2 linked regions of the Ovis aries genome follow. The protein of the gene in region 1 binds, or shares a complex with, the protein of each later gene. Links are inferred from orthologs where the notes say so. Each region holds a gene or a part of one and is shown on either strand. Other genes may lie near its edges. The genes, in order: ATP2B1 and NPTN.

Region 1 (3,810 bases):
CGATATTGCAGCATAAAAGAGTAAAATTTTATGGAGAAGTCAACCCAAATGTAATGCCCCAAATTATTTTGGAATGTTCCCCCATGGTTAAGACCTAGGGAGAGATTGAGCCAGCAGGTCATGACAAGCCAAATGCTTTCTAATCTGTACACACACACACCCCGTTGTGTAACATTTCTGTTATAGAAATGTGAACTACCTTTGCATAATTTAGCATGGCTGTATTCATTTCTTTTGGAAAGCTTTAATTCCCGTTTTGTTCCTACAGATAAGAAACAAGATGGAGCTATTGAGAATCGCAACAAAGGTAAATTCAGGAGGTTAAAAGTACACTTAGCTTATGCTTACTATAGCCAAAACTATTTCTCTTGTGTACTGTATTCATCCAAAAGTAGGATTCTTGTAGCAGAGAAAATTAACAACCTGTATTACTTGGGTGTATGTCTCTCTGGTCAGTGCCTGACTCATGTTGCCTTAACATTTTTGATATAAGATTTTAATTATGGCATGTGGTAGTAAATTTAGAAAGCTCCAGATGTAGGTAACTTTAAACTTAGACATTTCAAGCATTTTATCATTGGTTACTATGTGATTGCTGGCAGAAATGGCATAAGTAACAAAATATGTAATGTGGATTTTTTGGCATCTATTTAAGTCTGTAAGCATATGTACATTTCTCGTTTGTATGGTCTCACATGATGTTCTACGTTATGGTTATAACTTATTGGGAGGAATTCATGGTGTTTGGAACGACACAGCACACAGGAGGAGAAATGATTGGGTGTTTAGCTCTTTCAGGACCCTGTATTTCTTCTTATGCCTCATCTCTATTTCCTACCACAGCATTCTCAAATCTGGTACAAAGTTTCAAAACCTAGTGTCACTATTGCCTTATTTTCTCTGGGTAGGCACAGACATACACACTAAGGTAAATGTTTAAATCTTTGTGTTTCTATAAGAAATTGATTCCCCCCCCCAACACACACACCAAATTGCTTGAAAATGTTAACATTATGTGTGCACTTCAACATAGCAAAAGCCCAGGATGGCGCAGCCATGGAAATGCAGCCTTTGAAGAGTGAAGAAGGTGGAGATGGTGATGAGAAAGACAAAAAGAAAGCAAATTTGCCAAAAAAGGAAAAATCCGTTTTACAGGGGAAACTGACGAAACTAGCTGTTCAGATTGGCAAAGCAGGTATGATATTATAAGAAAATAAGATGTTTTGTTTTAAAATACGCTGACTTGCTATTTAAAAATATCTTTTGACGTACTTAAGACTGGAAATCATTGCTTTGTGAGTGGAAGGGGAGTTAATAATATTTTAAGTTTTATCTACAGTGTACCTTTTGAGTTATTAGAGAGTCTCATAATATTTTGAAACTTGGGAACTGTTATCATCATTTTGTGTAGAGGGAGTGTCCTCTGTCAACTTGCTAATAAATAAATGGTCAGGTTAGGATTAGTGCCTAATCTACCCAATTCACAAGCCCATGAGCTTGTATCTGAATTTCTGGGCAAAATAGAGAGAGGGCTTACTCTATACAAATTACCGAGCTATATTTTAATAAAAAGAAACTTCACCACACATCTTCTCATCTTTTTATTGACTATGAAAAAAAAATTAGGTAATGTGTTTTTCTAAAAATTGCAGTTTACTTAAATTGAGTGGAATACTTACAGCATCGCCCTGGTGAGATTGAAGTTATAAATTAAGAGTCATCACTAGAAAACACCTGTTAAATAGAACTACTCTTCAGGGGAAAATAAAACATAGTGAAGAATTCACCTGCAGTGCAGGAGACTCGGGTTCGATCCCTTGGTCGTGAAGATCCCCTGGAGAAGGAAATGGCAACCTACTCCAGTATTCTTGCCTGGGAAATCCCATGGACAGAGAAGCCTGTTGGGCTGTAGTCTGTGGAGTCACAAAAGAGACATAACTTAGCGACTGAACAACAATTCGAGCCACTTCCATGGCATCATTCTGTTACTTCCTGGGATTATCTCAGAAAAAGTTAAGATTTTACCTGTGTCCTCAGAAAGCTTATTATCTAGGAGATATTTGCTTTCTGTAATATTTAGCCAAATGTTAATACTGAATCATGCAGAAGTGGATGGCTTTAAGGTGGTGATGGTGTTTTAATAGATGGCTTTAAGGTGGTGATGGTGTTTTAATAAACATCAGATTGGATTATTAGTTCCAGATATGTGGACATGCCTTATTTTGCAATATTCATTTATAAGGAGATTAAACACCCCACAAAATGGAAAGGTAAATGATTTGTAATATGTGATTAGCTCTTGGTTTTCTTAGTTAATAAATCAGTAAGGATAGATGAAAAAATTAATTTCAGTAATTTGTGTTTTTCATTAAAAAACATAGAGTTGAATATTTAATTCTAGGTCTCCCCATTGATCAGATCCTTACCAATTTCTCTTTTGTCATTAAGCAGCTTATGCTACACTTTTGGTATTTCCTTGTCATTGCTTGTTATTTTGTCTCAGCTTTAGCAAAAGACTGAAGATGCAGTTAAGTCTAGAAAAGAATCATAAACACTTTTTTCCAGTTCTCCTAGTCAGAAGCAGAACTTAAATCTAACAATGTCAAGGGATGAGTTAGGTGCAAAAGAGTAGGTAACAGTTTCTCAGAGAAATTAAATATCACCAAAGGAGTTCTGATTCTTCCAGTGGCTAATATGTAACTGACAGTGAGTCGTGTCTGGAATATTTAATGATTGCATTTTCCTTCTTTTTGTGTGCTGAAAGGTTTGTTGATGTCTGCCATCACAGTTATCATTCTTGTCTTATATTTTGTGATTGATACCTTCTGGGTTCAGAAGAGACCGTGGCTTGCTGAGTGCACACCGATTTACATACAGTATTTTGTAAAGTTCTTCATTATTGGAGTTACGGTTTTGGTGGTGGCAGTACCAGAAGGTCTGCCCCTTGCAGTCACTATCTCACTAGCTTATTCAGTCAAGGTAAGCGGAAAAGACTTATGCACGACTGCCCTTTTCCTTTTGGGTTCTGAAAGTTGGAGACTTCCCTAAATTTGCACTGCTTCCTTTAGAAATTCTGTTGTTGGTCCCCTCCTCCTCTCCCCAGTTGAAGATCTCTGCACCGAGGCCTATACATGCCTGAAAGGGCAGCCTTGACACAGAGCTAAGCAGAACTCCACTGGGAAAGTTCTAGCTTACGTTTCCGCATACGATAGTTAAGATGTCCAGTCCCCTTCTGTTTCCCATCTGTAAAATTGAAGTAAGCGTGTTTGTCATTTGCCTGTGGGACAAGAGCAGAGCGGTTGACCTGCCTCCAACAATCTCAGGCCTCCTTGTTGGACCCTCATGACCCCACGGTCCTGCCTTCACATGGGAGGCAGATTCATGTTTCTAAAAAATAATTCAGATCGTTTTTGTTTCTTGTGTAAAAACCCTCCAGTGGCTTCTCATCAGAATGAGATCCAGGGTCCCTCGCCGTGGCCTGCACGGCCTGCCTGGTCTGCCCAATCTCTCTTTCTTCTCCTGTTCATCTCCCACATCTTTCTCCCACTCTGGTCCAGCCTCACCAGCCTTCCTGCTGTTTCTCAAAAACTCCAGCCCTGTTCTCACTTTTGGACCTGTGTGCTCCTTTCTTTGAATCATCAGCTCTCTAACTTTACTCAGCTCTCTTCACATGTTACTGTCTCCGACCACTCCGTGTACAGTAATACAGTCCTTCTGTTCTCAAAGTAGAATGCTGAAAAAATGAGCTTGGATGTTTTTGCTGACTGCTGTTTTACTTAAAGGAATATTCTGTTTGAAGATTATTAATTT
Region 2 (4,369 bases), on another chromosome or scaffold:
CAAAACTCCCATCAGCTGAAAATCCTGGTCTCACCAGGAGCCCTGTAGCCCTCCAGCCAGAGCTGTCTGCACAATGGCCTTTGTCCAAAGACACATGCCAAGCTTTTTATCACTCACCTGAGGTCTTGAAGGATAATGCTTCATTTAGGTCAACAATACGCCATAGTTGTAGCTTGCTAGAAAGCTCAGGCTGGAACCACCAGGTGTCTGGTTCACACTGAAAGCTTGAGACCACTTTGGCTTGAGTGAAGGTTATGGTGAATGCTCCTTCTTCCAGATTTTTCAAGTTTTCACTTCAAATTGAGTCAGGTCACCAGGACTGCTTACTTGGCCCCTCTCAGTTTCATTCCACAGACACTCCCCCGGATGTCTGCTCTGAGTCAGGGATGAGCTAAGACCCAGAAACTCCTTTAGCAACCAAGGACTGATGATGCTCAGGTTGTACCAAAAATATCCTTAGAAAGGGCATTCCCCAAACTTCCATCCAAACAGTAGTGACACTGCCAGAGCACCCAGCTGGTTCCTTTCCAATGGGTCGTTTTGCTGTGCAGTCATTTGCCCTCTTCCTCGCTCTTCTAATAAGCTGGGTTGTGAACTTCGTGATAGTAAGGACCACTTTTTCACGTAGGTTTCACGGCACACAGTAAGTACTCAGTAAATGTTTGCTGCACAAAAATACTTCTGAAGATATTTCGTATAGTTAATACATGTTGACTTCCTTGTAGAATTTAGTGCCCAAACTGCCTAACGAGCAATTAGTCTAGTTGATTTTCAGGCCTGAGATTCTAGGTAGTTAAAATAAGGCCAAAATGGGGGCGGGGGAATAGAAGGGCGAAGAAAAGGAGGACATTTCACGCAGAGGGAGATGAAGAAGCAGTAAAGCACAAGGTAATACCAGGCACGCGGAGTGCACCACTTAGCCTAGAAGGTTAATACAGGGGGTTAAAGTGGGAGGTTGAAGCCAGATGCGAGGAATAGGTCTAAGGTTAAAGTCCAGAAGGAAGTCCAGGAGGAAGAAATAATAGGAGTTTGATAGGGAACAATAAGAGTAAGGCCGGTGGTGCATTAAATTTTGCAGCCAAGACCTCCAACTAATGAAAGGCAGGATGGGCGGAGGAAATATATTCTCAAAGCTTCCTCTTATTTATGGGAGCTCCGACTTCGCAGAGGAATCAGCAGAACATAGAACCGTCGGTTCCCCAAGGCCAAGAAAGCCGGAGGAGCCCCGCCTCGAACCGTCACGTGGCCAGAAGCGCCCTTGGCACGTGACCCACCTCCCGCTAGGCCAATCAGCCTCTGCAGGGGCGGGGACGCGGAATCCGAGGGGCGGGGGATCGATTGAGCCTGCCTCCTCTCGCGAGCCTTGATGCTGTCGCTCCTCAGCCGCCCACGGCCCGGAGCGAAGGTCTCGCGAGGCTTGGGCGCTGCGGCGGTAGGAGGAGGACGGGGAAGGACGGAGCCCTGCCACGGCTGCCTCCCTCGCTCTCTCCCTCGCGCACTCGCCCGCCCCCTCCCTCCCTCCCCTCCCTTCCCCGGCCCCGGCTCCGGCCCCGGCCCATTCGCTGTTCCGTCTTCTGCAGGGAGGATGTCGGGCTCGTCGCTTCCCAGTGCCCTGGCCCTCTCACTGTTGCTGGTTTCTGGCTCCCTCCTCCCAGGGCCAGGCGCCGCTCAGAACGGTAAGCAGGGCGCCGGGGGCCGGCCGGGCGGGGGCTGAGGGACGGTGGCGGCCGGAGAGGGCATTTCGGGGCCGGAGGAGGTGGCGGAGTCCGGGGAAGGGGGCTGGTCGAAGTCTGAGGTGCTGCGGGCCCGACAGGACCAAATGCCGGTCGCGAGTTCGAAGAGGCGCGCGGGTGTGAGAACCAGAGGCGCCTGTCCGAGAGCTGGGGGCGTCCGATGAGAGCTTGAGGTGTTGCTAATTTAGAGGCTGCTCATCTTGGGGCTCGTCGCTCCGAGTCGGGGAGGGGTCCCCGAAGAAGCCGACCTGAGGAGCTGGAGTAGCGGGGGCGGATGAGGAAGGGGTGCAGTGTTTAAAGAAGGCTACACAAGACCGACATTTGTGTTTAAGGTGACAGAGAGTGGTATCAGGCTCCAGAGATGAACGGGGGTCCTGGGCGCTGGAGTCGTCCAAGGTTCTTCTGGGGCCCTGTAAGACTGGTGACATCCTTAAAAAATAATGAGACGTTGGGGGAAGGGAGTCCTGAAGAATACTGAGCAGAGTACTAGAGCCTTAAGGAGGGGGTAAGGAATCAGGGAGCCTTGGCTGTGGAGGTGGCGGGAAGGTGGGTGGAAAGCCGAGGTAGTGGGTTGACTGCAATAGGGGATCTGGAAAGAGGAGCAGCAGAAGCTGTAAACGAAGTGGGGGAAGAGGGCTGGGTTTGCTAAGGAGGGTGGAGTGTTGGGCATTCTAGGGTAGTGGTTGGGAGAGCAAAAAGGAGTTTCTAAATAAGGAGAGGAAAAACGAGCAGAGGATGGGGAGAAAGGGTTGAAACTGAGGTAGGGGGAATTATTTGTTAGAGAAATAAGGATGCCTGGCTATAGAAATGGAAGTAGGGGAAGACAGAAAATAAGGGAAGGGAGTAAAATGCAGGAAGCCGGGGGTGTAATGTTAGTTTGCAGTGTGGAGGATATATTAGGGAAGGGAGGAGCTGAGTTTTGGCAAGTGCTGTATGATATTGGTTGGGCCTTTCACACAGCTGAAACTGCAGTGGTGGGATTGAGGGCCGGCACTGGAGAGAGGGAGATGGAGGGAAGTGTGTTTTTAAGGTCGAAAAGTTTCAAAACAGAAGAGACATTATTTCTGAGGAACATAAAAGTAGTTCCTGGGATGTGTTCAGGGTACAGTGGAAAGGAGATGATTGAACTGAAGATAATTGAACTGGGTTTTGAACTGAAATCCCTTAGAGAAGATGGATACATGGTGGGAAGCATGGTGATGGGGGATCTAGACAAAAAAGATTCTGATTGTTAAAGATATGTGTTAAAATTCAGCTGCTGAATCAATCTTTTAGAGATGAGATTAGAAGTATTGTGAACCAGTTTCTGCTCTTGTGGAGACAGCCTTTAAGAAATTTCAAAAATATTTTTTCTAGGAAAAAAATTGTGAGGTTGAACTCATTCATGACTTTACTGGAAATTCTGTAAAAAACTGTAAAAAATTCTGAAAAACTGTAAATTCTTTTTGCTAATTCTTTGGTGTTTCTTTGTTGTTATGCTAGAATAGTTTAAAATTACTCTTGTTGGAATAGCTGAAATTAAAATGGCTTTCACTAAAAAATAAAATCAGTGATAAAGCTAATGGAGTTAAGCATTCTAAGGAGAATGCGTACTTAAAATGCTGAAGATTACACTGAAAATATATCAGTCAAGGTCGAAAAAGCATCAGTTAAATGTAAGTGTTTGTTGTACCAAATCATACAAATAAAATCTTATGTATGCTTCATGGCTTTGAATGATCACTGCAGGGGTCAGGAAGGAAACATTCTTCTATTTCTAGCATTGAATATGTGAAGCATATTGGGTATTTTACACTTCAAAGCATGAGGCCACTGTGGAAGGCAAGGTAGAGTTAGTCTGATTTGTCTCATCAGTTTTTAGTCTGTGTTACCAATAATTTCAGCTATTCAGTTTGTGGGAAAAGCAAGGTTTCATTAGGCACAATAGGCGAGAGATTTTGATCTTAACATGTTTAATCTCTGCGCTGGCACACAGCTTCTTAGAAAATTTATAATACAGTGAAATTGTAGTTTCTTAGCAACTAAAGCAAGGCTTTTGCATAGGCCTATGAAGACTCATCTGGCTATTCTCAGTGATATGTGTTCTAAATACAGCATAGTGCAGCCTTTTCCTTGAAATGAGCTTGAATTCAGTCACGTGACTCGTGAAGTGAAGCTGAGCTTGTAGTTGACCCAAATGAATGTAAATTTAATTCAAGAAAAAAAGGCTGTTTTTTGAGTTTGAGTCCATATAGGTAAGGATGCCTTTTTATAGCATGTCTGTAAGATTAAAATTTTCTATTGGTAATAGCTCTTCAGTAGTCTGACCTCATGTCTTGGGGTTTGTATTTTCTTATAGTGTTTCAGAAGTGGATACTGTGTTCTAGATGAACTTGAAAAGTTGGATTATCTATTTAAAATGATGACTTTAAAAAAGAAACCTCCCCAAACCTTGAAGTATTTCTGGTTTAAGTATGTGGTAGTTTAGATTGAGTGTAGATGCTTTTCAAAAGGTCTGTTGCATCATTCCTAAAGTGAAGAATTTGAATTAGATGACCCTTAAGGTCTCCTCTAGCTGTGATCCATGCCAGAGAGATTCAGGGCTTTTCATTCAGATAGGATTTGTTTCCCATCCAGATATAGACTTGTAGGATCAT

What was found.
Region 2: the proteins of ATP2B1 (region 1) and NPTN are in contact, whole or in part, in a cryo-EM structure (PDB 6A69), measured with the Homo sapiens proteins. The link is inferred for Ovis aries from reciprocal best matches to the Homo sapiens genes ATP2B1 and NPTN. Residues at the interface, in NP_001353449.1 of Homo sapiens: Phe954, Asp955, Ile956, Asp957, Glu996, Arg997, Asn998, Val999, Glu1039, Gln1040, Leu1042, Trp1043, Ile1045, Phe1046, Met1049, Gly1050, Leu1052, Leu1053, Gln1056; in NP_036560.1 of Homo sapiens: Arg245, Ser246, Asn248, Arg332, Arg334, Pro339, Pro342, Phe343, Gly345, Ile346, Glu349, Ile350, Ile352, Leu353, Ile356, Ile357, Tyr360.

What each region holds. Positions count from the first base shown.
Region 1 is NC_056056.1:126,009,812-126,013,621, reverse strand, and holds part of ATP2B1 (plasma membrane calcium-transporting ATPase 1), read left to right. Parts: intron 1-268; coding exon 269-307; intron 308-1,033; coding exon 1,034-1,195; intron 1,196-2,764; coding exon 2,765-2,979; intron 2,980-3,810. UniProt on the Homo sapiens protein: Catalyzes the hydrolysis of ATP coupled with the transport of calcium from the cytoplasm to the extracellular space thereby maintaining intracellular calcium homeostasis.
Region 2 is NC_056060.1:20,255,342-20,259,710, reverse strand, and holds the start of NPTN (neuroplastin), read left to right. Parts: upstream 1-1,412; 5' UTR 1,413-1,585; coding exon 1,586-1,676; intron 1,677-4,369. UniProt on the Homo sapiens protein: Probable homophilic and heterophilic cell adhesion molecule involved in long term potentiation at hippocampal excitatory synapses through activation of p38MAPK. May also regulate neurite outgrowth by activating the FGFR1 signaling pathway.